7 linked regions of the Neurospora crassa OR74A genome follow. The protein of the gene in region 1 interacts with the protein of each later gene in a pairwise test. Links are inferred from orthologs where the notes say so. Each region holds a gene or a part of one and is shown in the gene's direction. Other genes may lie near its edges.

What was found.
Region 2: the proteins of NCU03321 (region 1) and NCU11175 interact in binary tests that used the Saccharomyces cerevisiae proteins (3 or more experiments, as listed by UniProt). The link is inferred for Neurospora crassa OR74A from reciprocal best matches to the Saccharomyces cerevisiae genes ERB1 and DRS1.
Region 3: the proteins of NCU03321 (region 1) and NCU05289 interact in binary tests that used the Saccharomyces cerevisiae proteins (3 or more experiments, as listed by UniProt). The link is inferred for Neurospora crassa OR74A from reciprocal best matches to the Saccharomyces cerevisiae genes ERB1 and NOG1.
Region 4: the proteins of NCU03321 (region 1) and NCU00925 interact in binary tests that used the Saccharomyces cerevisiae proteins (3 or more experiments, as listed by UniProt). The link is inferred for Neurospora crassa OR74A from reciprocal best matches to the Saccharomyces cerevisiae genes ERB1 and NOP7.
Region 5: the proteins of NCU03321 (region 1) and NCU02546 interact in binary tests that used the Saccharomyces cerevisiae proteins (3 or more experiments, as listed by UniProt). The link is inferred for Neurospora crassa OR74A from reciprocal best matches to the Saccharomyces cerevisiae genes ERB1 and NOG2.
Region 6: the proteins of NCU03321 (region 1) and NCU09349 interact in binary tests that used the Saccharomyces cerevisiae proteins (3 or more experiments, as listed by UniProt). The link is inferred for Neurospora crassa OR74A from reciprocal best matches to the Saccharomyces cerevisiae genes ERB1 and HAS1.
Region 7: the proteins of NCU03321 (region 1) and NCU07712 interact in binary tests that used the Saccharomyces cerevisiae proteins (3 or more experiments, as listed by UniProt). The link is inferred for Neurospora crassa OR74A from reciprocal best matches to the Saccharomyces cerevisiae genes ERB1 and DBP10.

What each region holds. Positions count from the first base shown.
Region 1 is NC_026501.1:5,301,410-5,305,590, forward strand, and holds the start of NCU03321 (eukaryotic ribosome biogenesis protein 1), read left to right. Parts: upstream 1-1,381; 5' UTR 1,382-1,445; coding exon 1,446-1,840; intron 1,841-1,910; coding exon 1,911-2,150; intron 2,151-2,223; coding exon 2,224-2,336; intron 2,337-2,396; coding exon 2,397-3,609; intron 3,610-3,676; coding exon 3,677-4,055; 3' UTR 4,056-4,181. Other genes in the region: ada-4 (all development altered-4), read right to left, coding at 1-17, 129-195.
Region 2 is NC_026503.1:3,109,903-3,114,172, forward strand, and holds the start of NCU11175 (ATP-dependent RNA helicase drs-1), read left to right. Parts: upstream 1-1,470; 5' UTR 1,471-1,641; coding exon 1,642-3,369; intron 3,370-3,426; coding exon 3,427-4,188; 3' UTR 4,189-4,270. Other genes in the region: NCU00234 (hypothetical protein), read left to right, coding at 1-984. UniProt on the Saccharomyces cerevisiae protein: ATP-binding RNA helicase involved in ribosome assembly.
Region 3 is NC_026504.1:5,445,385-5,449,654, forward strand, and holds the start of NCU05289 (nucleolar GTP-binding protein 1), read left to right. Parts: upstream 1-1,470; 5' UTR 1,471-1,662; coding exon 1,663-1,694; intron 1,695-1,750; coding exon 1,751-1,780; intron 1,781-1,881; coding exon 1,882-1,910; intron 1,911-1,975; coding exon 1,976-1,993; intron 1,994-2,063; coding exon 2,064-2,207; intron 2,208-2,309; coding exon 2,310-3,370; intron 3,371-3,441; coding exon 3,442-4,086; intron 4,087-4,179; coding exon 4,180-4,221; 3' UTR 4,222-4,270. Other genes in the region: NCU05291 (polyamine acetyltransferase), read left to right, coding at 1-33; NCU05290 (orotate phosphoribosyltransferase), read right to left, coding at 340-1,041. UniProt on the Saccharomyces cerevisiae protein: Involved in the biogenesis of the 60S ribosomal subunit.
Region 4 is NC_026501.1:6,705,681-6,709,868, reverse strand, and holds NCU00925 (pescadillo), read left to right. Parts: upstream 1-1,457; 5' UTR 1,458-1,585; coding exon 1,586-3,577; 3' UTR 3,578-3,688; downstream 3,689-4,188. Other genes in the region: gpit-2 (glycosylphosphatidylinositol transamidase 2), read right to left, coding at 1-800, 883-1,036; NCU00926 (hypothetical protein), read left to right, coding at 4,056-4,188. UniProt on the Saccharomyces cerevisiae protein: Component of the NOP7 complex, which is required for maturation of the 25S and 5.8S ribosomal RNAs and formation of the 60S ribosome.
Region 5 is NC_026501.1:2,685,339-2,689,285, forward strand, and holds the start of NCU02546 (nucleolar GTP-binding protein 2), read left to right. Parts: upstream 1-1,147; 5' UTR 1,148-1,479; coding exon 1,480-1,789; intron 1,790-1,850; coding exon 1,851-2,216; intron 2,217-2,271; coding exon 2,272-2,435; intron 2,436-2,816; coding exon 2,817-3,836; 3' UTR 3,837-3,947. Other genes in the region: NCU02545 (hypothetical protein), read right to left, coding at 1-784. UniProt on the Saccharomyces cerevisiae protein: GTPase that associates with pre-60S ribosomal subunits in the nucleolus and is required for their nuclear export and maturation.
Region 6 is NC_026502.1:4,196,447-4,200,608, forward strand, and holds NCU09349 (ATP-dependent RNA helicase has-1), read left to right. Parts: upstream 1-1,437; 5' UTR 1,438-1,580; coding exon 1,581-3,197; intron 3,198-3,266; coding exon 3,267-3,386; 3' UTR 3,387-3,662; downstream 3,663-4,162. UniProt on the Saccharomyces cerevisiae protein: ATP-dependent RNA helicase involved in 40S ribosomal subunit biogenesis. Required for the processing and cleavage of 35S pre-rRNA at sites A0, A1, and A2, leading to mature 18S rRNA.
Region 7 is NC_026504.1:2,109,868-2,113,994, forward strand, and holds the start of NCU07712 (ATP-dependent RNA helicase dbp-10), read left to right. Parts: upstream 1-1,327; 5' UTR 1,328-1,441; coding exon 1,442-1,754; intron 1,755-1,820; coding exon 1,821-4,127. Other genes in the region: NCU07713 (DnaJ domain-containing protein), read right to left, coding at 235-810, 894-1,007. UniProt on the Saccharomyces cerevisiae protein: ATP-binding RNA helicase involved in the biogenesis of 60S ribosomal subunits and is required for the normal formation of 25S and 5.8S rRNAs.

The sequences.
Region 1 (4,181 bases):
AGCAAGTTTCCGTGTCCCTGCATTTGTTAATTTAGATACATTAGTGCGGTTGGGCAGTCATGGTTGCTGACTAGAGGGTAGAGGTAGATGAATATATGGATCGAAACGGGGAGCGGGACGAAACATACGGCACTCGTCACAGGCACGGCGTTTCACCGGCTCTTTCTCCTTAGTGACTTCGCTGTTTGAGATCATGGCTGTTTTCCGCAACCGGCCTTTCCTTTATTTTGCTTTTTTTTTCTCCCCTTCTTTTCCGCGGGCGTAGATGTGTGGTGGATAAAAAGGGTTGAGTGGTAAGGTAAACGTCTAAGGCTCTCCGCAAGCCCCGCTTAGAAGACACAGAAATCGCCCCGGTGGTACTCCAAGACACTATCTATGTAGACGCTAGTGTGGTGTACACAGTAGATGGGCAAACAGCATGGATATGTACGTTGTAACAAGGGACCTAGGATGATAGGATCGACTCGTTTTCAGAGGAGGGCAAAGAAAGCAGATTTCAGACAAGATGCTCCAGGCCCGCAATGTTAACGAGCCAACGCAAGCAATCAAAGATCACCTGGTCGCGCCAGACCTGATGCCATATTAATAAGCCGCAATTGACACAGATAATGCAGAGACTGACTTTTGTTGCCGCGTTGCCTCAAATGGCACTGGTAGTGTATCAGTCAAACACCCAGGCCTTTGGACATATATGTGGCTCACTGGCCAAAGGCATGAATGATGTCCTTTTGCTAGTTATGGGATGACTATAGCGTGGGTTTTATGGCAGTAGTGTAGTGTGAAGGTGTCGAGTAACCCTAGCCCATCAAGGTTCCCTAGCAGGCGTCGTGCTACACTACATATTGTCAACTGCCATGCTTGGAAAGCGCAAAAAGACGGCGATGGTGACAAAAACCGTAGTGTAAGAGGCAATGGGGTAAAATTCGAACAAAAGTCTGTAATTACAAGCGATCCATGGAGACTCAATCTGATCACGCCGGGTATTTGATTGATGCTGGTTTGCCAGTTTTGACTGCCAATACCCACAGAACGGGCAGGACGAACTACAGAAGTGGAATCGTGCGTGGTTGAAGCCAGGTGTAGGGGTGCAGAGGGATGCTGCATCGAGGTTGGAGTTCGGTATTCATCTCATCCATGATATACAAGTAACAAATAAGGCTAAAAATTTGAAGTCGGTATCAGAGGGACGGAGACACGGAGTGCATGCTCCTGGCTTCATTTGTCTTTTGACACGCTAAACCGATAGGGTAATATGTTATGGTTCTTTAGCTGCCAGAAATGCCAAGGGCGGTGAGACCAACTCGTCCCCGCCATGAGCTGTAGAACCGGCAGAAAAAAAAGTCCCAGGCCAATTCGTATGCTAGGAATTTTCGACGCCTATCGCTGCGACGCTATCTGGGTGTTTTACCAGCAGAAAACACGCCAAAAATCAACACACATTCACAATGGGGCCAAAAGCCACCGAGAAGAAGCGAAAGGTCCAGGACGCCGAGCCTGAGTCCGACGACGAGATTGCACCCGATTTTGACGGCGCCCTGTCGCAGAGCGAAGACGAGTTCGATTCTGACTTCGACGACAATGAGCACGAACAGGACGGCGAGCAGGAAAGCGGAAGTGAGGCCAGCGACGACGAAGATGAGGAGGGCTCCCTACTAAGCGACGACATTCCCTCCGATGCTGAGGGCGACAAGGCAATGGGCAAACTTGTTCTCGAGGACGAAGAAGAGGAACTCGAGATTGAGATACCCGGAGTCGACCCCAAGCGGCCGGAGAAGGATGATGGAGACAAGAACTATCGGATCGAAAAGGACGCGAACGGCAACGAGCGCTACGTCTACGAGTATGTTGTTGTTCTGCAAATGGATCAAATATCGTTCCATGCCAGCATAGTTAACTCGAGAATGCAACAGTGAGATCGACCCCGTCTACGATTCGGACGATTCCGATGCCCAAGAAGCGCCAAACACCATCGGCAACATCCCCATGAGCTTCTACGACAGCTATCCCCATATCGGCTATGATATCAACGGCAAGAAGATTATGCGCCCGGCCACTGGCGACGCTCTTGATGCTCTCCTCGACAGCATCGAAGTGCCCAAGGGCTGGACTGGCCTTACGGATATTCACACCGGCAACCCTCTCAACCTCAAGTATGCACCCAACCCATCCTCCTTTGTCTTGCTCGGTTTCTTCGGGTCACGCTTACTGACTGCCATACCGTAGTGATGATGAATTGGAGCTTGTTCGCCGTGTCCAGATGGGTATGATTCCCAACGAGCTGGAAAACCCCTACCCTGAAACCGTGGAATACTTTACTGGTATTGAGGAGAAAATGCGTAAGTCAAAATCTATCTACACTTATCGTTGTTGAAATGGTGCAACTAACAAGTCAATAGCCCTGAGCGCTGCCCCTGAGCCCAAGCGTCGCTTCCTCCCCTCCAAGAACGAGGCCAAGAAGATTATGAAGCTTGTTCGCGCCATTAGGGAAGGCAGGATCCTGCCCTACAAGCCCCCTGAGGAGCGCGAGAAGGAGGAGGAAGAGGAGGAGCAGTACTTTGATATCTGGCAGGATGAGGTGCCACAAGAAGTCAACCCCTTGCACATCCCGGCACCCAAGCTGCCTCCTCCTGGTTTCGACATGAGTTACAACCCGCCCGCAGAATACCTACCGACCAAGGAGGAGAGAGAGGAGTGGGAGAAGCTCGACCCCGAGGAGCGCGAGAAGGAGTATCTCCCTCAGAAATACGACTCTTTGCGGAAAGTTCCCGGTTATGGCGAGATCGTCAAGGAGAGATTCGAGAGGTGCATGGACCTTTACCTTGCTCCTCGTGTGCGGAAGAACAGGCTCAACATCGATCCCAACTCGCTCCTGCCCAAGCTTCCTTCGCCTTCTGAGCTCAAGCCTTTCCCTACAGTTGCCCAAACAGTTTTCCGCGGCCATGACGGCCGTGTAAGAAGCGTTGCCATCGACCCTACTGGTGTTGCTGTCGCTAGCGGTGGCGACGACGGTACGGTACGTGTGTGGGAGCTGTTGACGGGTCGCCAAGTCTGGTCCGTCAAGCTCAGCAGTGAGGAGGCTGTCAACACCGTTAGGTGGAGGCCCGCGAAGGACTCTTTCATTCTCTCCGCTGCTGTGGGTGAGGATGTCTACCTCATGGTTCCTACACACGCCAGCGTTACTCCTGCTTTGGACCAGGCTAGCAGAGATATCCTGTCGGCTGGCTTCGGTTATGCTACAAACGGTCAGCAACACGGCGCTGCTCCCGGCAAGGAGCCTCCTGCCAAGTGGGCCCGCCCCGGTGCTAAGCTCGAGGATGAGGGTGTCTTGATCAGGATCACAGTCAGGTCGACCGTGAAGGTCATCAACTGGCACAGGAAAGGAGACCATTTTGCGACAGTATCGCCTTCCGGACAGAGGAGCTCCGTAGCCATCCATACGCTCTCCAAGCACCTCACCCAGATTCCCTTCCGCAAGCTTTCTGGCTTGGCTCAGACAGCGTCTTTCCATCCCCTCCGTCCTCTCTTCTTCGTCGCCACTCAACGAACAATTCGCTGCTACGACTTGCAGAAGCTCGAGCTGGTCAAGGTTGTCCAGCCTGGCGCGAAGTGGTACGTATCCCCATGGCTAGCCGGATAATGTGACTGGAATTGATTTGCTAACTCTGTTGACTTGTAGGATTTCTTCGTTCGATATCCACCCCGGCGGTGACAACTTGATTGTTGGCAGTTACGACAAGCGTCTCTTGTGGCACGATCTGGATCTTTCCATTCGTCCGTACAAGACGATGAGGTTCCACAGCGAGGCGGTTCGTCAGGTCAAGTACCACAGGGGCGGCCTGCCGCTCTTCGCTGATGCCAGTGACGACGGCACTCTCCAAATCTTCCACGGCAAGGTCCCGAACGATCAGCTGGAGAACCCCACCATTGTGCCTGTCAAGGTGCTCAAGGGACACAAGGTCGTCAACAAGCTTGGTGTCCTGGATATGGACTGGCACCCGCGTGAGCCGTGGTGTGTGTCTGCCGGTGCTGACGGCACCATCCGTCTCTGGATGTAAAAGAACAGCGTTTAATGGGACGAGACAAAAGATGAACAAAACACAAGGAAGGAAAACGGAAGCGAGAGGACAGGTTAATCAGTCTGCTTGTCTTGATTGGCGTGCTCGGATGTGCTATTATTATGA
Region 2 (4,270 bases), on another chromosome or scaffold:
CTTGGGGTGACGGAAAATTTGAGCATCACCGGACGAGAACTCGAAGCTGCCCGCGCAAAGACTGTCCAGCCAATTCCTACGTCATACGGGCCGAACCCTGTCACTCCCACGCTAACGCCGCGGGCAAGCTCCAGGGGAGAACTTAATGAACGCGCTGCTGCCGACTCGATTTCCCTTGACAGCCGGCTTGGAGTACCCCCAATGCCCTCATTGCCCCAGTTATCTGCGGCCTCCGCAGCACCTCTCGGTGGCTATTACCCCGATTACCACAACTACGAACAGTACACCACCCCTCCTCCAACCGAAGCTCCAACTTCAACACCACATCTTCCTCTTCCTTCAGTTCCTACTACGCTCCCACGACCAAACCCAACAACCTCACAAACCCAACGGCCACAGCCCCCATTAATCGTCTCATATGGACCCAACCGAGTAACGCCCACTCCAGCTGTGACTTCGCCTACAGTGCCTCCCGACGAGTCTATGATTGAAAGACCACCTAGAGGAGTTGAATTACAAGGCGAACCCGCATCTCTGATGGAAAGGAGACATCCATGGGAGGACATTGATCTCCCGAGCGCCAGTAATAACGGTCCTTTACCACCATACGCATCGACAGAGGAGTACGCTGCAATGGAAAGCGGCGCGATCCGTAAGCTGGAGGAGCCAAGGGCGCATGCTGAGCTGCCACCAACCAAAGATGGCTACTATCATGCTACGTGGGATATTGTTGAGCACGAATTGCCAGGTGACGGATATCAACGAGACCCTCTCTACCCGCAAGCATCCGCGTCCGGACGTGGAAGGGATATCGATGAGCAGAAATTCTTGCTGGATGATGTTGAAATGGCGCATTTGAAGGCGCAGAAAGAACGAATCCGCGCTGAAATGAAGAAGAAGCAGAAGCAGAAGGAGACTTACCAGCAGGACCAGGGGCATGACCAGGACTTCCTTGGAGCGTCGGCGAGCTTCTCCACACGGTAGCACGAGTGATAATGTGGCGGTCCATGTGAAGAAAGTTACGTTGTGGGCAACTGATGTTTTGGAGGCGAAGGTTTGAGGATTAGCATTATACCATTGGCAAGGTGTCTGGCGTTCATTTTGGGTATCGACGGGGTAGATGACTCCTGTGTAGTATCATCATATAATACGGGCTGATACATCTGCGTTGAGAATAGCTGGACCATATGCCCCGCACAAGTATAAATATAGTCCTACTGTAGTAAGGACAAGGTCCTCTGGCTCTATAACATGAACGCGTATTCAATTTCTTGGGACAATGTGGTGTTGAACGAGTTGCTCCCGAAGACGGCAGGTACTCACTTGATAGTTGAGATGGTACGTACCCATCCCCGCAGCTGTCGACCAGCTGCCACTGATAAGATCCCCAGATCCTCCAATCACATTGACCGCCCGGCAGAAAAAGTTACAGACGGGCATGGTTCCCAAATTTTTGTTTTCCCTTTCGTTCTGCGGCGGAGGAAGAGACGAAAAAAGACCCCACTGACTGCTATCAGTTGTACAATCTTGACGATTCCACCAATTCCCACTCAGCATCGGGAGCTTCCCGTCGTTCTCTTTTCCAACACAACACTACAGAACAAACAACGGTCACAGACCGTTGCAACACCATCCACCACAATGGCGCCCTCCCAAAAGCGCAAAGCGATCGACGACGATTTCATCCTCACCATTTCCGACAATGAAGAAGACATCCCACTAGAAGAGGAGCAAGAAGTTGTACCCAGGAAGAAGGCCAAGACGGCCACACAACAATCGAACAAGCAAAAGAAGAAGAACAACAAGAAGTCCAAGAAACAGCAACAGACTGAAGATGACGACGACGAAGCCGAAACAAAAGAAGACGACGCCGCCGACCTCGGCATCTGGGGCGACAACGACGAAGACGACGGCGCCATGGATACCGAGTTCCAGTTCGTTGTCGACGGCCAGAACGAAGTGGACGCCGAGTTCGACGGCTGGGGTTTCGAGGGCGCGCACAAGGGTGTTGTGAAGGGCGCCAACGCGGGCGGGGACAAGAAGGCTGTGGATATCGATGAGATTATCAGAAGGAGGAGAGAGAGGAAGGCTGCTAAGGAGGGGAAAACCACGGCGACAAAAGAGGAGGAGGATAAGATGGAGGTTGATGAGGAAGAAGACGACATAGAAGAGATTGATGTGGATTTGGATGATGATGAGGATGGTGTCTTGGCTGACGATGCTTTTGGTATGGGTGTTGGGTCGGACGTGGAAGAGGAGGAGGAGAAGCAGGATGCGAAGATGGGGGGTGTTGATGGGGAGGATGAGGATAGTGAGGGTGAAGATGGGGAGAAGAAGGGAGAGGATGAAGACGAGGGCGATGCGTCGGATGATGACTCGGTTGCTACGGCCGTTGAGCATCCTGATGATGTGCAGTCATCGGATGATGAAGAGGGTATTGATGAGGAGGAGGAGGCCAAGATGAAGGAGTTCTTTGCGCCGGAGGAGGAGAATCAGCCTAAGAAGAAGGGCGAGATGTCTTCGTTCCAGGAGATGTCTCTCTCCCGTCCTATCCTTCGCGGTCTTACTTCCGTGGGCTTCACCAAGCCGACGCCCATTCAGGCCAAGACCATCCCCATTTCGCTTATGGGTAAGGATGTCGTCGGTGGTGCCGTCACCGGTTCCGGTAAGACGGCCGCCTTCGTCGTTCCCATCCTTGAGCGTCTCCTCTACCGTCCCAAGAAGGTTCCCACCACCCGCGTCGTTATTCTTACGCCCACCCGTGAGTTGGCTATCCAGTGTCACGCTGTCGCTGTCAAGCTCGCCAGCCATACCGACATCAAGTTCTGTCTGGCTGTCGGTGGTCTCAGTCTGAAGGTGCAAGAGGCCGAGCTCCGTCTTCGCCCGGATGTGGTCATTGCCACTCCTGGTCGTTTCATCGATCACATGCGCAACTCTGCCAGCTTCGCCGTCGACACCATCGAGATTCTCGTCCTCGATGAAGCCGATCGCATGCTCGAGGACGGTTTCGCGGACGAGTTGAACGAGATTCTTACCACCCTTCCCAAGTCCCGCCAGACCATGCTGTTCTCTGCCACCATGACGTCGTCTGTCGACAGGCTCATTCGCGCCGGTCTCAACAAGCCTGTGCGCATCATGGCCGATTCGCAGAAGAAGACTGCCGGTACGCTTGTTCAAGAGTTTGTCCGTCTCAGACCCGGTCGCGAATCGAAGAGGGAAGGATATCTGTTGCACATCTGCAAGACTATCTACACGGAGCGTGTCATTATCTTCTTCAGACAAAAGAAGATTGCGCACAAGATGAGGATCATCTTTGGTCTGTTTGGATTGTCGTGCGCCGAGTTGCACGGTAGCATGAACCAGGCTCAGGTATGTTTACGATTTACGATGCTCCAGATGGATGAGTGATACTAACAGGATCCATAGCGTATTCAAAGTGTCGAGGACTTCAGAGATGGAAAGGTCAACTTCCTCCTTGCCACCGATCTCGCCTCACGTGGTCTTGATATCAAGGGTGTCGACACCGTCATCAACTACGAGGCTCCCCAGACCCCCGAGATCTACGTCCATCGTGTCGGTCGTACAGCGCGTGCGGGCCGCAGCGGTACCGCTATTACCCTGGCTGCTGAGCCCGATCGCAAGGTCGTCAAGGCTGCCGTCAAGGCCGGCAAGTCTCAGGGCGCCAAGATCAGCAGTCGCATCATCGATCCCGCGGACGCCGACAAGTGGCAGGCCGAGATCGACGAGTTGGAAGATGAGATTGAGGAGATTATGCAGGAAGAGAAGGAGGAAAAGCAGCTGCAGAACATGGAGATGCAGGTCAAGAAGGGCGAGAACATGATCAAGTACGAGGACGAGATCAGCTCGAGGCCCAAGCGCACGTGGTTCGAGACGCAGGAGGACAAGAAGAAGGCCAAGGCGGCGGGCCGGGCCGAGCTCAACGGCGTCAGGGACAAGCTCAAGTCCAAGAACGAGGGCAAGTTGAGCAACAAGGACAGGAAGAAGCTCGACACCATGCAAGAGCGCAAGCAGGAGAGGACATACAAGAAGGGCAGCGCCGAGAGAGCCGGTAAGGGCGCGGTGCTGAACCTCAAGAAGGTCGTCAAGAAGGTGGGACGGTCTGCTGGGCCTAAGAAGAAGGGCGGCAATGCTGGTAAGGGTGGTAAGGGCAAGGGCAGGAGAAAGTAAATGTGAGGAGCACGATTCTGTTGTTGTTGTTGAGTTTCTAAATGTAATTGAGCTTCAAGCTAAGTCTAGTGTGCTTTTGATA
Region 3 (4,270 bases), on another chromosome or scaffold:
TATGAAGTGAAAGCCGTCAAAACTCCGTCCTAGTGGGTATCATATGGTATTTCAGAACGGCAACATTCCCGAAATCAACATATTTCGGCGCGTCCCCAAACTTGTGGAATCAGATTAGACCTTCTGTGTGGGATCCCAAAGTCGGTGGAAAGATTGATTGGATGCGCAATCAGAACCTGACAATCCCTATCCTTCTTCTTCTTCTTTTCTTTCTTCATCTTCTTCTTCTTGTAGAGTGTCAGCCACAGGTTTGATGTTGTGGCTATGGTCAGAGGGTACTGGGCGAACAAACCTGTGATATACATGTTACTAGTTTATCAGAGAATCCAACTCCAGCGTTTAGTCGGTAGCCTTGTACTTGGCGCGGTATTCCTCCGTCTTCTCGACGTCCTCAGGGGAGGCAAGACCCCTCATGCCCTCAATGATGTCGTCCAGAGTAAGGATGGCAAAGATGGGAATGCCGTACTCCTTGCGGAGCTCGCCCATAGCACTGGGGCCGGGCTTGCTATCGTCACCATCAGCGGCAGGGAGCTTCTCCATGCGATCAAGAGCAACGACGATGCCAGCGACAATGCCGCCCTCCTTCTCGATCTTGGCGATAGCCTCACGCTTAGCAGTGCCAGCAGTGATGACATCGTCAACGATGAGGATCCTCTTGCCCTTCAGAGGGGCGCCAACAATGTTGCCTCCCTCGCCATGGTCCTTGGCCTCCTTGCGGTCGAAAGAGTAGCAGATCTTGCCGTAGGTCTCGGGGTCAAGCTGGGCAAGCTTGTCGGTGGCAGCAGTAGCGAGGGGAATGCCCTTGTAGGCGGGGCCGAAAACAATGTCAAAGTCCAATTGGCCGCTCTTGTGAGCCTCGATAATGCACTTGGCGTAGGCAGTGGAGATGGCCTGGAGAAGGTCGGCACGGTAGAAGTCGCCGGCGTTGAAGAAGTAGGGGGAAATGCGCTTGGACTTGAGCTCGAAGCTGCCGAACTTGAGGACGCCGCCGTCGATGGAGGCCTTGAGGAAGTCAGCCTTGTAAGGCGAGAGAGCGGCCATTGTGCTGGTACGTAGTGTTTGTAGGATTGGAATTGAAGCTGAAAGAAGAAGAAGAGATTTCAGAAGAACAGCGTTGACGTCTGTCTGCCTGGCAACTGAATAGCTGGAGGAACCTGGGGAAAATTGAGAAAATGGAGGGAGGGGCCGAAGGAAGGGTTCAGTTCCTGGCGGCGTCACACGCGGCAGTCTTTCAACCGAGTCAATCAGATGGTGGGTTACGAGTGGGCCACCTAGTTCCAGGAGCCAGGCCCGCGAAAGCCCGGTCATCGGCCACTTGGGCGCGGTGGGGTCCCTGAAAAAATGTGGGGTTAGAAAATCCTAAATTCCACACTAGCCGAATCCTTAAGCACCCCTTGGCAGCATGTCTTGGCAGCGCACACTACCTCTAGGTTCAATCCACTTTGGCACTCTGCTGTTATCTTATCGATTGGAGCAGCCGCTGGAAAAATATTTCGAAGTAGACTTTCCATTTGGCAGCGCAGCGCCTCCCCGTCGCCCTCCAACACCGCCCCCTCCCCCCGCAGCCGGTCTCTATCCTTCAGACCGTCCGTCCGACCTCATTGTCCTGCACTTCCAGTCCGAGATCTTCTCACCAGCAAGTGCTTGACATCTATACCCGAAATGACGTGGAAGGACATTGCCCCTGTGCCTACGTAAGGACATCTTGGTTGTTGTGTTGTTGTTTGGCATCGCTAACTCGCTTCTACAGGGCACAGGAATTCATCGACATCATCCTCTCGTAAGTCGACATCGGCAGCCCCCAACCACGACGATGCGAAGTCTTCGAGTTCGAGTCCAATGGCTTGGCCACGGTGGTGAAGGATATTAACTGTTCAACAGGAGGACACAGCGTCGCTTGCCGACTCAGAGTATGTTGTACAATGTGGAAAATTACGTGAAGCATGGCATGATCGCTAACCTTTACTTTGAATAGTTCGTGCTGGTTTCAAGAGTATGTCGTCTCGATATCCGATACTTTGTATGAGAATTCGAATAGATCATTGACACGCGACACCGAACAGTCAGCAGAATTAGAGCCTTCTACACCCGTAAGGTCAAGTTCACACAGGAAACATGCAGCGAAAAGTTCGGCGCCATCGTCTCGAGCTTCCCCATCCTCGCCGACCAGCATCCTTTCCACCGCGATTTGATGAACATTCTCTACGGTACGAATCCCGCGCTTCCCTGCGACAGGCGGTTTCAGCAACAGCGGGTTGTGAACCGCGCCTGGTCTTGTTGGGAATAGTGGCTGACAAGGTGATGGATAGATGCCGACCACTTCAAGGTTGCCCTTGGTCAGGTCTCGACCGCCAAGCACTTGATCGAGACCATCTCTCGTGATTACGTCCGTCTCCTCAAGTACTCGCAAAGTTTGTACCAGTGCAAGCAGTTGAAGAGAGCCGCCCTCGGTCGTATGGCCACCCTCATCAAGCGTCTGAAAGACCCTCTCGCCTACCTCGACCAGGTCCGCCAGCATTTGGCCAGATTGCCCGATATCAACCCTACCACCCGTACCCTCCTCGTTGCCGGCTTCCCCAACGTCGGCAAGTCTTCGTTCGTGCGCTCCGTCACCCGCGCTGATACCCCTGTCGAGCCCTATGCTTTCACCACCAAGAGCTTGTTCGTCGGCCACCTCGACTACAAGTACCTCCGTTACCAGGTCATCGATACCCCTGGTATTCTCGACCACCCTCTCGAAGAGATGAACACCATCGAAATGCAGTCAGTTACTGCCCTTGCCCATCTCAGAGCCGCCGTCATGTTCTTCATCGATATCTCGGAGCAGTGCGGTTACTCGCTCAAGGCCCAGTGCAACTTGTTTAGGTCCATCAAGCCCCTTTTCGAGAACAAGATGGTCTACGTTGTCCTGAACAAGATGGATATCAAGACCGTTGAGGACCTCGACCCCGAATCCCAGGCCGATCTCATGGACCTTACCAAGTCCGGCAACATTCAGCTTTTGCGCGCCTCTTGCGCTACTCAGGACGGTGTCCAGGAAGTCAAGAACACCGTTTGCGAGGCTCTCCTCGTTGAGCGTGTCAACCAGAAGTACAAGGCCGGTACCAGCAGCAACGGCACCATGGGCTCCCGTCTCACCGAGGTCATGTCCCGTATTCACGTCGCCCAGCCCGCCGATGGTGTTCTCCGCGAGACCTTCATTCCCGAGGCCGTCAAGGGTCTCAAGAAGTACGACAAGGCCGACCCCGAGAGGAAACTTCTCGCCAGGGATATCGAGGAGCAGAACGGTGGTGCTGGTGTCTTCAACGTCGATCTCAGGGAGAACTGGATCTTGGCCAACCCCGAGTGGAAGTACGACAAGATTCCCGAGGTCAGTATCTCTCGCATTCCGTCTCCCCCAAATTAAACCCGGTTACTAACATGTCACGCTTTGACGAACAGATTGTCGACGGCAAGAACGTCTACGACTTCATCGACCCCGATATCGAGGCCAAGCTGGCCGCTCTCGAAGAGGAAGAGGAGCGTCTCGAGAAGGAGGGCTTCTACAAGTCGGACTCGGACCTCGGCGACGAGTCGGAGGAGGAGATCCTGCAAAAGGCCGAGTACATCCGCGAGAAGCACAAGCTGATCCGCAACGAGGCCAAGATGAAGAAGTCGCTCAAGAACCGCGCCATAATCCCCCGGAAAATGCAGAAGAAGTCGTTCGCCCAGCTCGAGGACCACATCGACCAGCTCGGCGTCGACACCGAGGAGATCAACCTGCGCGGCCGTGCCCAGGTGCGCGAGCCCACTCGCGGCCGCTCGCTGGCCCGCAGCCGCAACGCCACCGAGGACCCCGACGCCATGGAGGTGGACACGCCCAAGAGCGCCGCCGAGCGTCTTCGCTCTCAGAGCCGTCCGGCCCAGCGTGGCCAGGGCGCGACAAACAGGCGCGACGACGGTGTTACTGGTGGTGTGGGCATGGACGGGGAGACAGCCCGCTCCAAGGCCGAGAGGGTGGCCAAGCTCGGCCAGCGCAAGATGAACAGGATGGCCAGAGCCGGCGAGGCCGACAGGCATATTGGTGCTACCATGCCCAAGCATTTGGTACGTCTTTTTTCTTTTCTTTTCCCCTTCCTTCAATCCCCCTTTTCTCTTTTCTCTTTTCATTCCTAAACTAACCACACATGTTTTCTATAGTTCTCCGGCAAGCGTACCGTCGGCAAGACACAGCGTCGTTAATTTGGATCGATGATCCATATATGTTTGGGTTGGGTTGGGTTGGGTGTGT
Region 4 (4,188 bases), about 1.4 Mb from region 1:
CAGCAGCAGAGTGATCACCGCAAGCGGCTGCTGGCGAAGGCGCACGCTCAACCCGCCAACATATGACGACAAATGCAGCCAAAAGACGGCCAAGAAGAATGAACGGAACGAGTCGAACATCTCGACAAAGAAGTACCACCACAGGCCGATATTGGGGGCCAGGTCAGACAGTGTAAGTTGCACACCATAGGTGGAACTAAGGAACTCCCATGAGCCGGTCAGGAAGAACGACATTTGGAAAAGCACTGCCAGAGCACCAAACGCATCCATAACCATGGTCGCGGTAAACTTGATCCACGCATTGGGCGCTCCGGTAGCGGGCAACTTCTGCCTGTCATAGCAAAGAAGAATGAGAGGCGGGAGGAGGAGTAGCGGATACATGGAGAGGTATGATGCGAAGGCTAGGGCGACCATGGCGTGAAAGGGTCTGCCGGAGATGGCATTGGCGACGGCGTGGAGAATGGCACAGGTCGTGAAGACGGTGGTCGAACGCCCAATGCATGTCGCGATGGTGAAGGGGTTGAACAGGAAGAGCGCGGCAATGATGGCACCACTCCAACGCTTGTCACGGCGCGGGGAGGTGAAGCGCGCAGACGAGCTGGCCTCGCCAGACTCTGCAATCCTTAAAAGAGCATGGGCGCTCAGAATATCGATAGCGATGTAGAGAAGGTACGTGAAGATGGGAAACGCCGCGAAGCTCGGGAGCAAGTTGAAGATGGGCAGCAAGAGGGGCGCCTGGTGGTAGACGCCGCCATCGTAAGGAGAGACGTTATGGTTATACAGGAAGAGGCCTTCTTGGACTAGATTTTGGTAGTTAGCAAACCTGTGTTCCTCGAGACGATGCGACGAATGCCGAAGAGAAAAACAAAAGCTACAACATACGGCGCTTGAAGCTTGTTACTGGCGTTGAGATCTCGACACGGCCAGTCAGGAGGTCTGGAAGACCGGGGAACAGAGTAAAGAGGGCAAGTCGCAGGACGGCAGCACCGGCGTATAAGCCAGCCGTCCTCCTCAACGTTACCTTGCCGCCATTCATTGTTCAATTCGCCATACGACGAGGTGGGAGCTGTGATGTCGAACTTGTCCCAGGGTCAAGTTACTTCTAACGACATGCCCGTCCAGTTGCGCTATACAGGAGTCGCGCCCAGCACGTTAGGTCGCCTTGTCAATCGCTGTCCCCGCCAAAGCAGACCGACAGCTGGCCCGGCCTCCACAGCTGGCGGGTCCCTGTGGGACAAGGGGTTCTGGAATCCAATCCAGACGGGAGCGGGAACCTATCTGGGCCAGACGGGCCCAGTATGTATTCTAGTAGCCTCATCTGTGCCTATCTGATGCCTCCCGTCTTTCCATCCGCTACGTTATCTTATCTTTGATCAGCTCAGGCGGTGGGAAGTGGCATAAAAAGTTCAGGACCGCGAGGGTCAGAAAAAAAGTTGATTGCAAGTGCACAGAGCGCCCCCACCTACAATTGGCTTCGATAACGATCGAGTCTGCAGACTGAAGAGATCCATCCTTGGTCCTCTTCTCCTTCTCTCACTCTTCCACCTACACCCAACAACCACAACCACCACCACCACACCCCAAAATGCCAAAAATCAAGAAGAAGGGCCAGGCCGGCGCGGCCAAGAACTACATCACCCGCACACAGGCTGTGAAGAAGCTGCAGCTTAGCCTTCCCGACTTCCGCAAGCTTTGCATCTGGAAGGGTATCTACCCGCGCGAGCCTCGTAACAAGAAGAAGGTTTCCAAGTCGGCCACTGCCTCGACCACCTTCTACTACACCAAGGACATTCAGTACCTCCTCCACGAGCCCCTTCTTCAAAAGTTCCGTGACCAGAAGGTGCTCGAGAAGAAGATCTCCCGTGCTCTTGGCAGAGGTGATGTTTCGGATGCCGCCCGCTTCGAGCGCCATGCTGCCCGCCCCGAGGCCACTGGCAAGCCCAGGTACACTCTCAACCACGTCATCCGTGAGCGCTACCCGACTTTCAACGACGCGCTCCGCGATCTCGATGACTGCTTGTCCATGCTCTTCCTCTTCGCCAACCTCCCTTCCACGAGCGCGGTTCCCGCCAAGATGATCGCCCGCTGCGAGCGTCTCTGCCTCGAATTCCAACACTACCTTATTGTTTCCCACAGCCTGCGCAAGTCGTTCCTGTCGATCAAGGGTATCTACTACCAGGCCAACATCCAGGGCGAGGATATTCTCTGGCTCGTTCCCTACAAGTTCAACCAGAGGATCGTCGGCGATGTCGATTTCCGCATTATGGGCACTTTCGTCGAGTTCTACATGACTCTTCTTGGATTCGTCAACTACCGACTTTACAGCTCGATCGGCCTCAAGTATCCTCCCAAGTTCGACCAGCTCAAGGACGAGAACGGTGCTGAGCTCGGCGCTTTCTCTCTGGAGGGTGTCAACATGGCCACCCAGGGCGAGACCAAGGCCGTCACAAACGGGGAGGAACAACAGCAGGGTCCTGACCCCAAGGTCCAGGCTGAGGTTGACAAGATTATCAAGCAACTGAAGGAGGACGAGTCCAAGAGCGACGAGACTGCCGAGGAAGATGCCGAGGCCGACGATGAGGAGAAGCCCACAGACTCCATCGACAAGTTCGAGCCAGTTGCCCCTGGTGGTGATGTTCTTCCTCAGCCGGCGTACAGCAGCAGTGACCCTTCGCAGCTGTTCGCCAACTTCACATTCTACCTCTCCCGTGAGACCCCCCGCCAGCCTCTCGAGTTCATTCTTCGTGCCTTTGGCTGCAAGAGGATAGGCTGGGATTCCGTCCTCGGCGAGGGTGCCTTCACAAATGACGAGTCGGATCCCTCCATCACCCATCACATCATTGACAGGCCAGTCGTACAAGCCGCTACCAACGAGGATGGCGATGGCGAGGACAATCAGACGGCCCAGAAGGTCGGACCCAACCAGAGATACCCCGGCAGGATATATGTCCAGCCCCAATGGGTATGGGACTGCGTCAACGACGAGGAACTCAAGAGCCCTGAGCTCTATGCTCCTGGCGCCGCTCTCCCTCCCCATCTTAGCCCCTTCGTCAAGGCCGCCCCTGGCCAGTACGATCCTACTCTGCCCCTTGAGGCTCAGCAAACCGAGGCCGAGGCTATTGAAGCCGACCTCGAGGATGCCGAGAAGGGTAATGCTGAGGATGGTTCCGATGTCGAAAACGACATGGATGTTGATGAGGCCGAGGACGATGAAGAAGAGGAGGAGGGTGACGAGGAGGATGCCGAGGAGGCCGAGGAGGAGGATGCTGAGGAAGATGAGGAGGAGTCCAAGACCCTCCAGCGTCAGCTTGAGCTAGAAGCCGAGCTCCAAGGCAAGAAGGTGCAGAATACAAAGGTAGACTCCAAGACCAAAGCCAAGCTAGAACAGCGCAAGGCTCTTGAAAAGAAGGCACGCGAGGAGGCGGAGGACCTGGAGCGCGCCAAGGGCATGCTGAGCAAGAAGAAGCGCAAGCTGTTTGAGCAGATGCAGTATACCAACAACAAGAAGAGCGCTCAGGACGAGAAGCTCCGCGCCAAGAGGAGAAAGCTGGAGAAGGAAAAGGCGCAGAAGGCGTAAGGTTAAAACACTGGCAAGGCGTAATTTTTTAGCACTTTATGTTTTGAAATGGGATACCAAAGGCTCATTTTTCTCTTTTCTTTTTGTGTAATCGACAAGTTTTGAATCCTACTCGTCGTCCTGAACTGATGCAAATGTGAATAATCGTGACATGAAAACGAGCGCCCACGAGGCTTTCGTCTGAGGGTTAGGGGTCGCTACGAACCAAACCGTAACGCCCAAGAGAAGTTGGAACGAACCGAAAATAGGACCAACGAAAGGTGAGAGTACAAAGTAAAAGAATTGAGTGAGGAGTCAGAGGTTCATCAGTTTCTCCATCCTTGTTGCTGTGGTACTACTACTGGGATGCTTTCGTACGTCAGTGCGGTTCTTCGACCTTCAATCTCTTGTCACTCCCGTCCTTAGTGATTGATCACCAGAATTTGCACTCAACAACCCTGCCAACGCGGGAAGAGCACCCACTAAACTGGGCCATGCAATGTCTTCACACTTGAATCAAGAAGATTCCGGCGACGAGGATTGGGATAAGGACACTGAAGAGATTAATTCCATCGCATCAGATGAACTGCACGAAACCCGCCCCAATCGGTGGAATGGGGCCCCCTCCACAT
Region 5 (3,947 bases), about 2.6 Mb from region 1:
TTTCCCAGAGACCGGCGTTGTGGATCTTCTCGGTGAAGTGTTTGTTGACGTGCTCCTCCAGCTCCTTCTCGTCCACGATGAAGTTCTTGGACGCCACGTACAGCTGGACGACGGCGTCCCGGCGCGCCTCGCTCTTCATCGCCTCCTTCTCTGCATGTTTAATACGCGCCTCCTCGGCCTTGACGAAAGCCTCTGGGTCCAGGGGTACGAATGTGTTCTTGGCCGTGCTCTCGCGAATCGTCGCGCGCGTGAACACCTCGTCCAGACGCTCCGGCGCCTGGGCCGCCCGCTTGTTCGCCAAGTAGCGCGCCTTGCTCTCCTTCGCCTGCTTCTGGTCGCGCTTCACCTTGCGCTGCCAGAGTCCCTGCAGACCGGCCTCGAGTGACTGGCGCCGGGCCTCGGCCATCTTGCGACGCCACGACTCTTGTTTCGACTTGGGCGGCAGACCAGCCAGCTCGGCGGCGGACTTGGGAGCGATACGATTGACATAGCCGGATTGGACCTTCTCCGGGACGCCCTTCTTTGGGAAAATGGAGCGGGGGATCGGGAGGTGGCCCTTGACGAAAGGGTGCCTAACCTCGGAAGACTGCGGCGGCTCGGGGACCTTGATGTAGTTGGGCGAATCGGGGGGGATGGAGACCGAGTCTCTAGCCGATCGGGTGGTGCTGAAAGATCGGGCGGCGATGGCGCGTGTTACTACGCTGGTGGCAGCGCATGTTGTGGTCGGGGAAGAAAGGATAAATTGCACGCCGCTGAGCGACGGCCTGGCAAGAGTTGGCGCCATTTTTGAGGTGGAGGGTTGGCTGAAGACGGGGTGAGCGGGATGGGGTCGGAGTTGGGAGACTTCTGGCCGGGCCGTGCTATGCGGAGGTTTCGTGCGACGGAGGGAACGGACCAGGCGGGTGCAGCGGCCTCTCGCTCTCCTAGGTAGGTAGGTTCGGCTCGGGATCGTGGGACACGCCGCGGTACGAGGGGGCTTTCAACTCCGTCGAAATTCTGAAAGCTCGGGGAGGCCAGAACGGCGCTAGAGTGCTCTTGGTGCTACTAGCTTTGCTGGTCGCGGGCGTTCTGCCGTCGTACACCGCTAAACTTTTTGTGCATGGGGACCTTTGCGCGGCCTCCACACCCCGCCCAAAAAAAAAACTGACAAAACTTTCGCCGGGACCAGTCGCAGAGTTGCATTTCCTCCTTCTCATTCCTTCCTCGCTTCCCTCTCTTCTTTTCTTCTTCCCCAGTCCATTCATCCTCTCGATTCTCACGCAACACCCTCTGCCGATATCTGATACCCCATAGCCTCGTTTCTAGCCTTTTACCCATTCTTCCCTATTTTCGTGTGCTTCTTCTTTCAAGTCAATCTCAAACCCCCCGATCTACGGATACCCCCAGCCGCTCTCGCAGGCGAGAACGAAATTCTTCCACATCTGCATCCTCTACCCACCAACCTACTCGGTAATCTGGCATTGAGTGATATCTGCCAAAATGGGAACAGGAAAGAAGGAAAAGTCTCGCATTCAGCGACAGGGCAAGGTGACGGGTGATCCAAAGGTCAAGGGCGAGAACTTCTACCGGAGCGCAAAGAAGATCAAGGCCTTGAACGTGCTGAAGGAGGGAAAGGCCATTCGCAACAAGGAGGGCAAGGTCGTCAAGGCCGCGTCGTATCAGAGCAGAGATGTTCCCACAGCCGTCATCGAGCCGAACCGGAGATGGTTCAACAACACCAGAGTCATTTCGCAAGATACGTTGACATCTTTCCGGGAGGCGATTGCCGAGAAGGACAAGGATCCTTACTGTACGTTCAACTCTTCCGTCACTTGTCCGGCCGACCAAGACTAACGCACCTTGTCTTGTAGCGGTGCTGTTGAAAAGCAACAAGCTCCCCATGAGCTTGATCAGAGATGGACCCAAGGATGCGTTGAAGAAGCACCAAGCCAAGATGACGATTGAGAGCGAGCCGTTTTCACAGACCTTTGGCCCCAAGGCCCAAAGGAAGAGGCCAAAACTCAGCTTCAACACGATCGGTGACTTGACAGAACACAGCGAGAAGAGCATGGATACATACCAGGCCAGACTCGAGGAGATCAAGCTTCTAAGTGGTGCTTCTGGATATGGCGGTGGTCTTGCCGATGACGATGTTCAAGAGGAGGATTTCAGTGTCGCGACGGCCAAGGAGGCTATCTTCACAAAGGGCCAGTCGAAGCGTATTTGGAACGAACTGTGTAAGTCCTTCTGTGTTTGGGGACTTGTGACTTCGGGTTGCTAACCATCACATAGACAAGGTCATTGATTCGTCAGATGTCATCCTGCACGTTATCGATGCCAGAGATCCTCTGGGAACCAGGTGTCGTCACGTTGAGAAATACCTTGCCACTGAGGCTCCTCACAAGCATCTTATTTTCGTGCTGAACAAGATCGATCTTGTTCCTTCCAAGACTGCTGTAAGTGTAGACCATTATTTGCTTTCACTCCTTCTGCTTGAATCTCTTGACTTGCCTCGCGCAAATCCTGAGGTTCCCAGGGATTTTGTCAGGATCTTTCCCGCATTCAGTTGCGCTTCATTGGGATTGGTCTGTTACATCGCTGGGAGATTAATATCCACCTCCCAACCTCTCTGGTCCCGTCTTGGGATTGGGGATTTGATGGACTCCGTTTTGGAGGACTTCACGGGATACCGGACGTGTTTCGTTTGAGTTGAATTCCACCCTGCCTTTGAGCAGACTCTACCATGGTGGTCTTCTTAGTTATGATTCACACATTTCTTCACATTATACATATATGTTATATTCAGTAACGAGTTGAGGACTAACTGAAAACAATAGGCCGCGTGGATTCGCGTTCTGCAGAAGGATCATCCTACATGTGCTATGAGATCTAGCATCAAGAACCCCTTCGGTCGTGGTTCTTTGATCGATCTTCTCAGACAGTTCAGTATCCTGCACAAGGACAGGAAACAGATCAGCGTCGGTCTTGTTGGCTACCCCAACGTCGGCAAGTCGAGTATCATCAATGCCCTTCGTGGGAAGCCCGTTGCTAAGGTCGCCCCTATTCCCGGAGAGACCAAGGTCTGGCAGTACGTCACCTTGATGAGGAGGATCTACCTCATCGACTGCCCTGGCATTGTTCCTCCCAACCAGAACGATACGCCACAGGATCTCCTGCTCCGTGGTGTTGTACGTGTGGAAAACGTCGATAACCCGGAGCAATACATCCCTGCGGTATTGAACAAGGTCAAACCTCACCACATGGAGAGGACATATGAGCTCAAGGGCTGGAAGGACCATATTCATTTCCTTGAGATGCTTGCTAGGAAGGGCGGCAGACTTCTCAAGGGTGGTGAGCCTGACGTTGATGGCGTTGCGAAGATGGTTCTCAATGACTTCATGCGAGGCAAGATTCCTTGGTTCACGCCTGCCCCCGAAAAGGAGGAGGGTGAGACTGATACCATGGAGGGTCGCGAAGGACGCTACGGTGAAATGTCCAAGAAGCGGAAACGTGACGAGGACGACAGCGCGCCTGCTACCACTCCCGCTTCAGCAGGAGAGGATGCCAAGGAGGAAGACCCTGAGAACTTTGCCGGGTTCGACAGTGACAGCGACTCTGAGGTCGAAGAGGCTGCTGAGGAGAAGGGTGAGGAGAAGAGCACTGCTGAAGATATGATACCCCTGGACGCGTCGAGCGATGAGGAAGAGGATGGCGAGGAGGAGGGCTCTGACGTCGAAGATGACGAGGAAGGATCCGACCTCGACATCGAAGGAGCCAGCGAACTCGAAGAGTCTGAGTCAGAAGCCGAGGCTGCGCCAGCACCTCCCCCGAAGAAGCAAAGGAGGAGCAGGAAGTAAACTCGGTCAGTGAACGCGATGGGCGGCTGGGGTGAACCGAGCATGCGTTCAATAGCCGACCTCAGGGTTGGTAACGATCCAATCGGATCATGACGGCCGGTGTCACTGATA
Region 6 (4,162 bases), on another chromosome or scaffold:
GACATCTCCCCTTACTTGTTCCATCCATGTTTGTCCTCTGCTCCCATAGTCCAGCCCTACAAGCAAGGCTATACGTAGCTCGAGACCCCATACCTTGTTTACTAGCCAAAGTCAATCGCAAGGGGCAAGCGGGAGCTAGGCAATTCGAAGCCAAATTACCAGCCCGATCGGCTTGAGCCGTGTCTACGCCTCCTGGGGCACCACTTGGCAGCAGAAAGACGGGGAAGTGAGATACAGAGTGTATCGAGATTTAACATAAACGTGGTTTCGATTCAAGAACCAGAAGTTCTTGTCCGATTTTATTTTATGGGATGCCTTCTGGATTGTTTCCGTGATGTCTGTCCGTGGTGTTGAGCGAGTGGTGTTGAAGAATAGGGCCATGGGACCAGATTATATCATGAACATCAACTTCCGTGCTGATACCTCCCATTGGAACCATTCTCAGCCTCAGATCGTGGAAAGATGCGACCCAAGGCAGCAGTGAGCCAAAGACCGAACCACACTTGTGACTCGGTCAACTCCATGGAAAATGATCATGTTTTCATGTAATAAAGGTGTTGTTACTTCCGACGTGACCAAGATAGCATCCCGTCAGCCTTGAGAGAATATGAAGGATTCCGAAGGGGTTCATGAAACTTCACTTCAGCCAATGTAATGATGCGAGGATATTGATCTGCCATGTGTACTGTTATGTATCGACCCAGGGGCCTCTCGGCGAGTGACACTTCCAACCCAGGGACCTGGATTCGAAGCTGACTGGTACGTTCCAATCTTGCGCCCTGTATCCCGCAGACGGGGTAAGTTTCCAGCTGCCCCGAATTATCGATTATCGATCAAGGCAACCCGTAGCCTGACTATGGACTTGTGTCAAGGCCTTCGAAGTCGTCCGCTGGACGGGAACTGCAAAGTCCACCAGGCTATTGACTGGTCTGTCTCAATCCACTAAACCTTTGGAATAGAAATGTAACATAAGAAGAATACTGCAATGCCAGGATCTCAGAGGTACTGTACAGCGTTTGAATATCCGCAGTGTAAAGCAATGCCACCATGGACGACATCCAGAGCCTAATTCCGTGAGAGGGACAACGAACATGAAAGACCGACTACACGCGGTTACGTTGAGTATATCATGTCTATGACAGACTGGAGTAATTGCAGGAGAGGTGAAAGCGTTGTGATAATAAACGAATATCAGAGAAGAAAACAACATAATGCGGATTTGAAGATAAGAGGAAATGGACAAGTTCAGTTCTCGACTCTCGCAAGCAATTGGGGGCACAATTGGCGGGTTCCGGGGTTCGGCTGATCTGCAGTCAAAAGTGGGGTCAACACTGGGACGGCTGTAGCGCACAGACCAGGTTTTCATCAGGAGAAGAGGGCAGAATTGGCAAAATTTTCACCGCCTGGTGTAATCCCTGGTTATCGAACAAGCGATAAGAAAAAAATCCCCAGCGAAAGAGAAGGCAGAGGAAGGATAACAGATTCGACTCGCTGGGAATTTGAACGGAACCATTGCGACGCCCTTTTCCCAGAGTATCGCAACCACCCACCGACAGTACCAACCCCCCCACGCCATCACGATGGCTTCCGAATTTAGCAAGAAGCGCAAGCTCAAGGACGCCAAGATTGCGACCGAAGATGGCGCCGCCACCGACAAGAAGACCAAGAAGGTGAAGAAGGACAAGAAGGAGAAGAAGGCCGCCGAAGAGGTCGTCGAGGACGCCACCCCCGAGGAGGAGAACGATGCCCAAAAGGCGGAGGAACAACAAGATGGCGACGAGGTCATCCCCACCGGCAACGGGGACAAGGAGGACAGCGACGACAAGGACGCTGAGGCCGGCGACGAACTCACAAAGACCAACGACTCCCTCATCGCCCCGTCCATCGCGACCAATGCCACCGACTTCTCCGAGCTCAACCTGTCCGACAAGACCATGAAGGCCATTGCCGAAATGGGCTTCACCAAGATGACCGAGATCCAGAGGAGAGGTATCCCGCCTCTGCTCGCCGGCAAGGACGTCCTCGGTGCGGCCAAGACCGGTTCCGGCAAGACCCTCGCCTTCCTCATTCCCGCTATCGAGATGCTCAGCTCCCTGCGCTTCAAGCCGAGAAACGGTACCGGTGCCATTGTCGTCACTCCTACCCGCGAATTGGCTCTCCAGATCTTCGGCGTCGCCCGCGAGCTCATGAAGAACCACTCCCAAACATACGGTGTCGTCATCGGCGGTGCCAACCGTCGTGCTGAGGCCGAGAAGCTGGGCAAGGGCGTCAACCTGCTCATTGCTACTCCCGGTCGTCTGCTCGATCACCTGCAAAACACTCCCTTTGTGTTCAAGAACATGCGATCGCTCATCATCGACGAGGCCGACCGTATTCTCGAGATTGGTTTCGAGGACGAAATGCGCCAGATCATCAAGATCCTGCCCAAGGAGGACCGTCAGACCATGCTCTTCTCCGCCACACAAACCACCAAGGTTGAGGATCTCGCCCGTATCTCGCTCCGTCCCGGTCCTCTTTACGTCAACGTCGATGAGGAGAAGCAGTTCAGCACGGTCGAGGGTCTGGACCAAGGCTACGTTGTCGTCGACGCCGACAAGCGCTTCCTGCTCCTCTTCTCTTTCCTCAAGAAGATGCAGAAGAAGAAGGTCATTGTCTTCTTCTCGTCCTGCAACTCGGTCAAGTACTACTCCGAACTTCTCCAGTACATCGATCTTCAGGTTCTCGATCTCCACGGCAAGCAGAAGCAGCAGAAGCGCACAAACACCTTTTTCGAATTCTGCAACGCCAAGCAGGGCACCCTCATCTGCACGGACGTTGCCGCCCGTGGTCTCGACATCCCCGCCGTTGATTGGATCGTCCAGTTCGATCCTCCTGATGACCCGCGCGACTACATTCACCGCGTCGGTCGTACCGCCCGTGGTAACAACACCAAGGGCCGTTCGCTGCTCTTCCTCCAGCCCAACGAGTTGGGTTTCCTCGCCCATCTCAAGGCCGCCAAGGTCCCCGTTGTGGAATACGACTTCCCCAAGAGCAAGATCCTCAACGTTCAGTCCCAGCTGGAGAAGCTGATCGGCCAGAACTACTACCTTAACCAGAGCGCCAAGGACGGTTACAGGTCGTATCTCCACGCCTATGCTTCGCACAGTTTGCGGTCGGTGTTTGATATCCATAAGCTTGACTTGGTTAAGGTGGCCAAGGTATGTTTTCTCTTCTCTCCCTTTTTCTTCCCCAACACCAGAACAGTCACTAACGTACTACAAAAACAGTCCTTCGGCTTCTCCACCCCTCCCAGGGTAGACATCACCCTGGCCTCCAGCATGTCGCGTGACAAGAAGCAGACGAGCAGGAGAGCGTATGGTAGCCAGCCGAAGCAGAACCGTCACTAAGCGAGGCGGGATTCGGTGTTCGTGTTGTTGTTGTTGTTGGTTAGAATACGAAAAGGGGATGATGATTTGTCAATGTTCTCTCTTAGATATCCATCGGGCATTCGGTGTGGAGCATAGTGGGTGTTTTCTTTTGTGTTGCTACTTTGCTGTTTACTTGTTGTTGTTTGCGCAAGCTGCCAAGGCGTTTTTGGTTGAAAAGTAAAACTGGAGGGCTTCAAATCAACAATTAATTTTTACTTTACGTTGCTGCTCCGTTGGTGTGGTATTTCTGATGCTGTGCCGTTCGGTCATCTCGGGTGTCTTTCCATGTGAGGATGGAACATATTATCATGCTGACAGTTTCATTTGATAAATGGTAAGAAAGACCTTGAACAAACCACATCATATCTATTTTGCTACGCAATTGGAAAGATCGTGATGTTGATATGGCTGATGGAAAGCATGGAGGTCCTGAGTGTCACTCTCTATCAAGGATCCTTTGTAGGGATTCATAATCAATACCCAAATTAGGTAGCTGACAACCGGTACCAACTCAACACTAACCTCCAACAACAAAGCATGAAACAACCCACTGATGACAGTCTACTATTTCAGAACGACCTACATCGATACCTATTCTATCTGCAGCCCCAATCGACCCCCCGAACCTGAACTACATAACAGACGGAAACTCCCCGACACAAACCAACCTAACAACTTTACCAAATTTCACCTCGTCCCCAATATCCTCCCCTTCCCCTTTCCCAATATCCTCTCCTTTCCCTTCCCATCACTTC
Region 7 (4,127 bases), on another chromosome or scaffold:
ACATGATTCTCTGATGTGTATATGTATAAGCACCTTGTCCCATAAAACAGCGACCAAGTCGCGACCCAAAGCTTTGCGTGTAAACACCCCCATTCCTCTAAACCCAAGAAAAATGGCTTCCTTCGATTCGTTGTAAGCTCCGCTACTGCATCGTTGATGAACACATCTTGCAATTGCCGTAGTTGAATATTGCTGCGCATGCTCATATGAAAGAGCATTGCAGGTTCTTCTTGCTCAGCCAATAGGCTTCAACTTCTTTTTCTTTTTCTTATCCGAATCCCCAGACTTGCCCTTTTGAAACGCGCGCCAACTATCGATGCGCTGGTCTCTCGTCTTTTCCCAGTCCTCTTCGTGCTGCCTCTTGCGCTTGCGCTGCTCAGCCTCCTCGTCAGCTTTCCGCTGCTCGCGGCCTTCCTCCTGCATCTGCGCCTTGAGCTGTCTGCGTCGTCGCTGCTCGTTCTCGATCAGCACAAACTTGGTCTTTTCCTGCCACTTCTTTTCAAACTCGGCCGTCTTGAGCTCAGGGCTGTCGACCGTCCATTTGTTCTCGCGGATCAGCAGCATGCGCGCGTCCGCGATAGCTTCGTCTAGGTTCTTGCGGTGCTTCTCCTCCATTAGCTCCGTTTGCGCCTTCTTCAGTCTATCGAACGCCTCAGGCGCCAAGGGGTTTTTGGTCTTGTCGGGATGGATCAGCAGGGACTTTTTGCGGTAAGCAATCTTGATGTCGGATTCGGTCACGCCGGGCTTGAGGCCGAGGACTGAGTAGGCGTCGAGCCGGAAGGCTTTCAAGATACGGTCGATCTCGGCATCCTGTCGGAATTTAGATTGTCAGCAACTACTGAGTTGGGGATGTAAATGTTGGTATAGTTGGGCGTGGTTGTTGTCTGGCTTGCCTTCTCCCACTCCTTGGCTTCAGATTCCAGCACTTCAAGCGCATCCCGAGTGTCGGCAGGAGTTTCGTCTTTGACGTCTTTAACGTCCTTCACGTCCTTAGTGTCTGTCGCCATATTGTCGCCGGAATGGAGGGTCAATCTGGATGCTTGTTTGATCAATTACAAAGGGTTGATGGATAAGTAAGTTCGGTCTACCAAACGGAACGCAACTCCGGGGAAGTTTAGGGAAGTTCAGTAGTTGCGACTTGCGACACCTCCAGGAGCGCGGAAAGCACAGCTAACGCACGCCAGCGCTGCCAAGGCAAACCCACGGGCATGCAATGGGTGTACTTGATAAGCTGATAATGGATAAATGTCACATTGGCCCCACTAAAAAGTCGACCATCCAAAATTTACGGGTGACGGGCAGGCATTGATGGCTACAGTAGACAAGAGACCCCAAGACCCCATCATCATCACCAACCTAAACTCCAACCCACCCCGTCCGTCTTTGCATCTTCAATTAGCGATTCGTGCTGCAATTGGCAGCAACACAACCCTCGCTCACCATGCCTAGACGCGCAGCGTCCCCCACACCGTCCGAGAACGAGGTTGACATCGCGGGTGCTTTGTTCAACAACGACAGCGACTTCGAAGACAACAGCAGCAAGCACCACACCAAGAAGGGAGCTGTTACGAACAGCGGGCTTGACCTCGATTTCAACGATCTTCTCGGTAACGGCGATGATGGACTACCTAGCTTTAATGGCGAGGGCGATGATGACGAAGCCTTTATCGCTTCGCTCACACGGAGCTCGCAGAGAAAGTCCTCCAACATTCAGGGCAAATCAGTCAAGAAGGGTGGAGGTTTCCAGGCAATGGGTGCGTAGTCTTCCGTCCCATGGCATAAGTTGATGATGCTTGGGGCAGCTGCTGATACTCTCCTAGGTCTAAACGCCCATCTCCTCCGAGCGATTACCAGAAAAGGCTTCTCCGTCCCGACCCCCATTCAGCGCAAAGCGATCCCCCTGATTTTAGAAAGAAAAGATGTGGTCGGCATGGCCAGAACCGGTTCCGGAAAGACTGCAGCTTTCGTTATCCCCATGATTGAGAGGTTGAAGGGGCACAGTCCACGTGTTGGCTCGAGGGCGCTCATCATGTCTCCCTCGCGTGAACTTGCGTTGCAGACCCTCAAGGTCGTCAAGGAACTCGGCAGAGGTACCGATCTAAAGACCGTATTGCTCGTCGGTGGTGACAGCCTAGAAGAACAGTTTGGTATGATGGCGTCGAATCCCGATATTATCATCGCCACACCCGGTCGTTTCCTCCATCTCAAGGTTGAAATGAACCTCTCTTTGGCCTCCATCAAATACGTTGTCTTCGATGAAGCTGATCGCCTCTTCGAAATGGGTTTCGCTACTGAGTTGACCGAAATTCTTCACGCCCTCCCTCCTTCCAGACAGACGCTTCTTTTCTCTGCGACGCTCCCATCGTCCTTGGTCGAATTCGCCAGAGCCGGTCTTCAAGAGCCAAGCCTTGTCAGGTTGGATGCCGAAACCAAGGTGTCACCCGACCTCGAGAGTGCTTTCTTCGCAGTAAAGGGAGGTGAGAAGGAGGGTGCCCTTCTCCATCTTCTCCACGACGTCATCAAGGTCCCGCTGGGTCCGCCCGAGGGCACAAAGGAAGAGAGTGACGAATTGCAGGCGAGGAAAAGGAAACGCGAGTACAGGCCCAATCCTAAGGAGAAGCCGACGGAATACTCGACCATCATCTTCACAGCAACGAAACATCACGTCGAGTACATTGCGAACCTGTTGAAACTCGCAGGCTTTGCCGTGTCCTACGTTTACGGTTCGCTTGACCAGACGGCCCGTTTGATCCAAGTTGACAACTTCCGTCGGGGAAGAACACATATTCTCGTGGTTACCGATGTCGCCGCCCGTGGTATTGATATGCCTGCTCTCGCCAACGTCATCAACTACGATTTCCCATCTCAGCCCAAGATCTTTGTCCATCGTGTTGGTCGTACAGCTCGTGCGGGTCAGCGTGGTTGGGCCTATGGTTTGGTCCGTCAGTCAGACGTACCATATCTACTTGATCTACAGCTCTTCCTGGGAAGGAAACTTATTATCGGCCACGATCAGAAGAACCCTTCCTTCGCGGCAGACGTCGTAGTTGGAACACTAAAGAGAGATGGAGTGGATGTTAACATTGAGTGGGTTGAGAAGGCGCTCAAGGAGAGTGCCGATCTCAAGGCGCTGAAGGGTGTTGCCGCAAAGGCCGAGAAGCTCTACATGAAGACGAGGAATTCTGCGTCGAGCCAGAGCGCAAAGAGAGCCCGCGAAGTTACGCAGTCCAGGGGCTGGACACAGCTCCATCCTTTGTTTGGAGAAGAAGCCGCTGAAGCCCAGGCAGCTCGCGATGATCTTCTCAGCAGGATAAACCGCTTCAAGCCCCAGGAAACCATCTTTGAACTTGGCCCTAAGGGCAAGTCTAGCCGCAATAAGGCCGCGGAAGTTGTACGAAACATGCGTTCCAGATTCAAGGAGCGCAAGACTACCAACGACGAGGATGATGAGGACGTGGACATGGAAGATGCCGAGGGTAAACCTGACGGCGAGGAGACCAATGCGTTCGAAGACTTTGAGGATGAGGAAGAGGAGGGAGAGGCGGAAGAGGCAGAAGAGGCGGAAGCCAAGGAAGACCCATACGCCGACGACTCGGATTCGGAGATGGAGGTTACAGTATCCAGCAGCATGCATACGAAGAAGAAGGGTGGCCCGGTCAACTTCCAAGACCCCGAGATCTTCATGTCCTACACGCCTCGCACCACTAGCCTTGCGGAGGAGAAGGCTTACGGTGTTCACTCGGGCGGCTACAGCGGCAACAGCTTCGTCGAGGCCGCTCGCGACGCTACCATGGACCTGACCAACGACGAGAGTGCCAAGAACTTCGGTCTGCCCACGAAATCCAAGATGCGTTGGGACAAGCGTCACAGCAAGTACGTGGCGGTCGCCAACGATGAGGACGGCTCCAAGGGCGCCAAGATGATTCGTGGCGAGTCCGGTGTCAAGATTGCCGCCTCGTTCAAGAGCGGCCGCTTCGACCGGTGGCGCAAGGATAACCGTCTCGGCAAGTTGCCCACGATTGGCGAGACGGAGAAGTCGCAGCTCATCCGCAACTTCGGAGCCCAACCTGGCCAACCGCGGTACAAGCACAAGATGGAGAAGGCGCCCAAGGATGCGGACAAGTTCA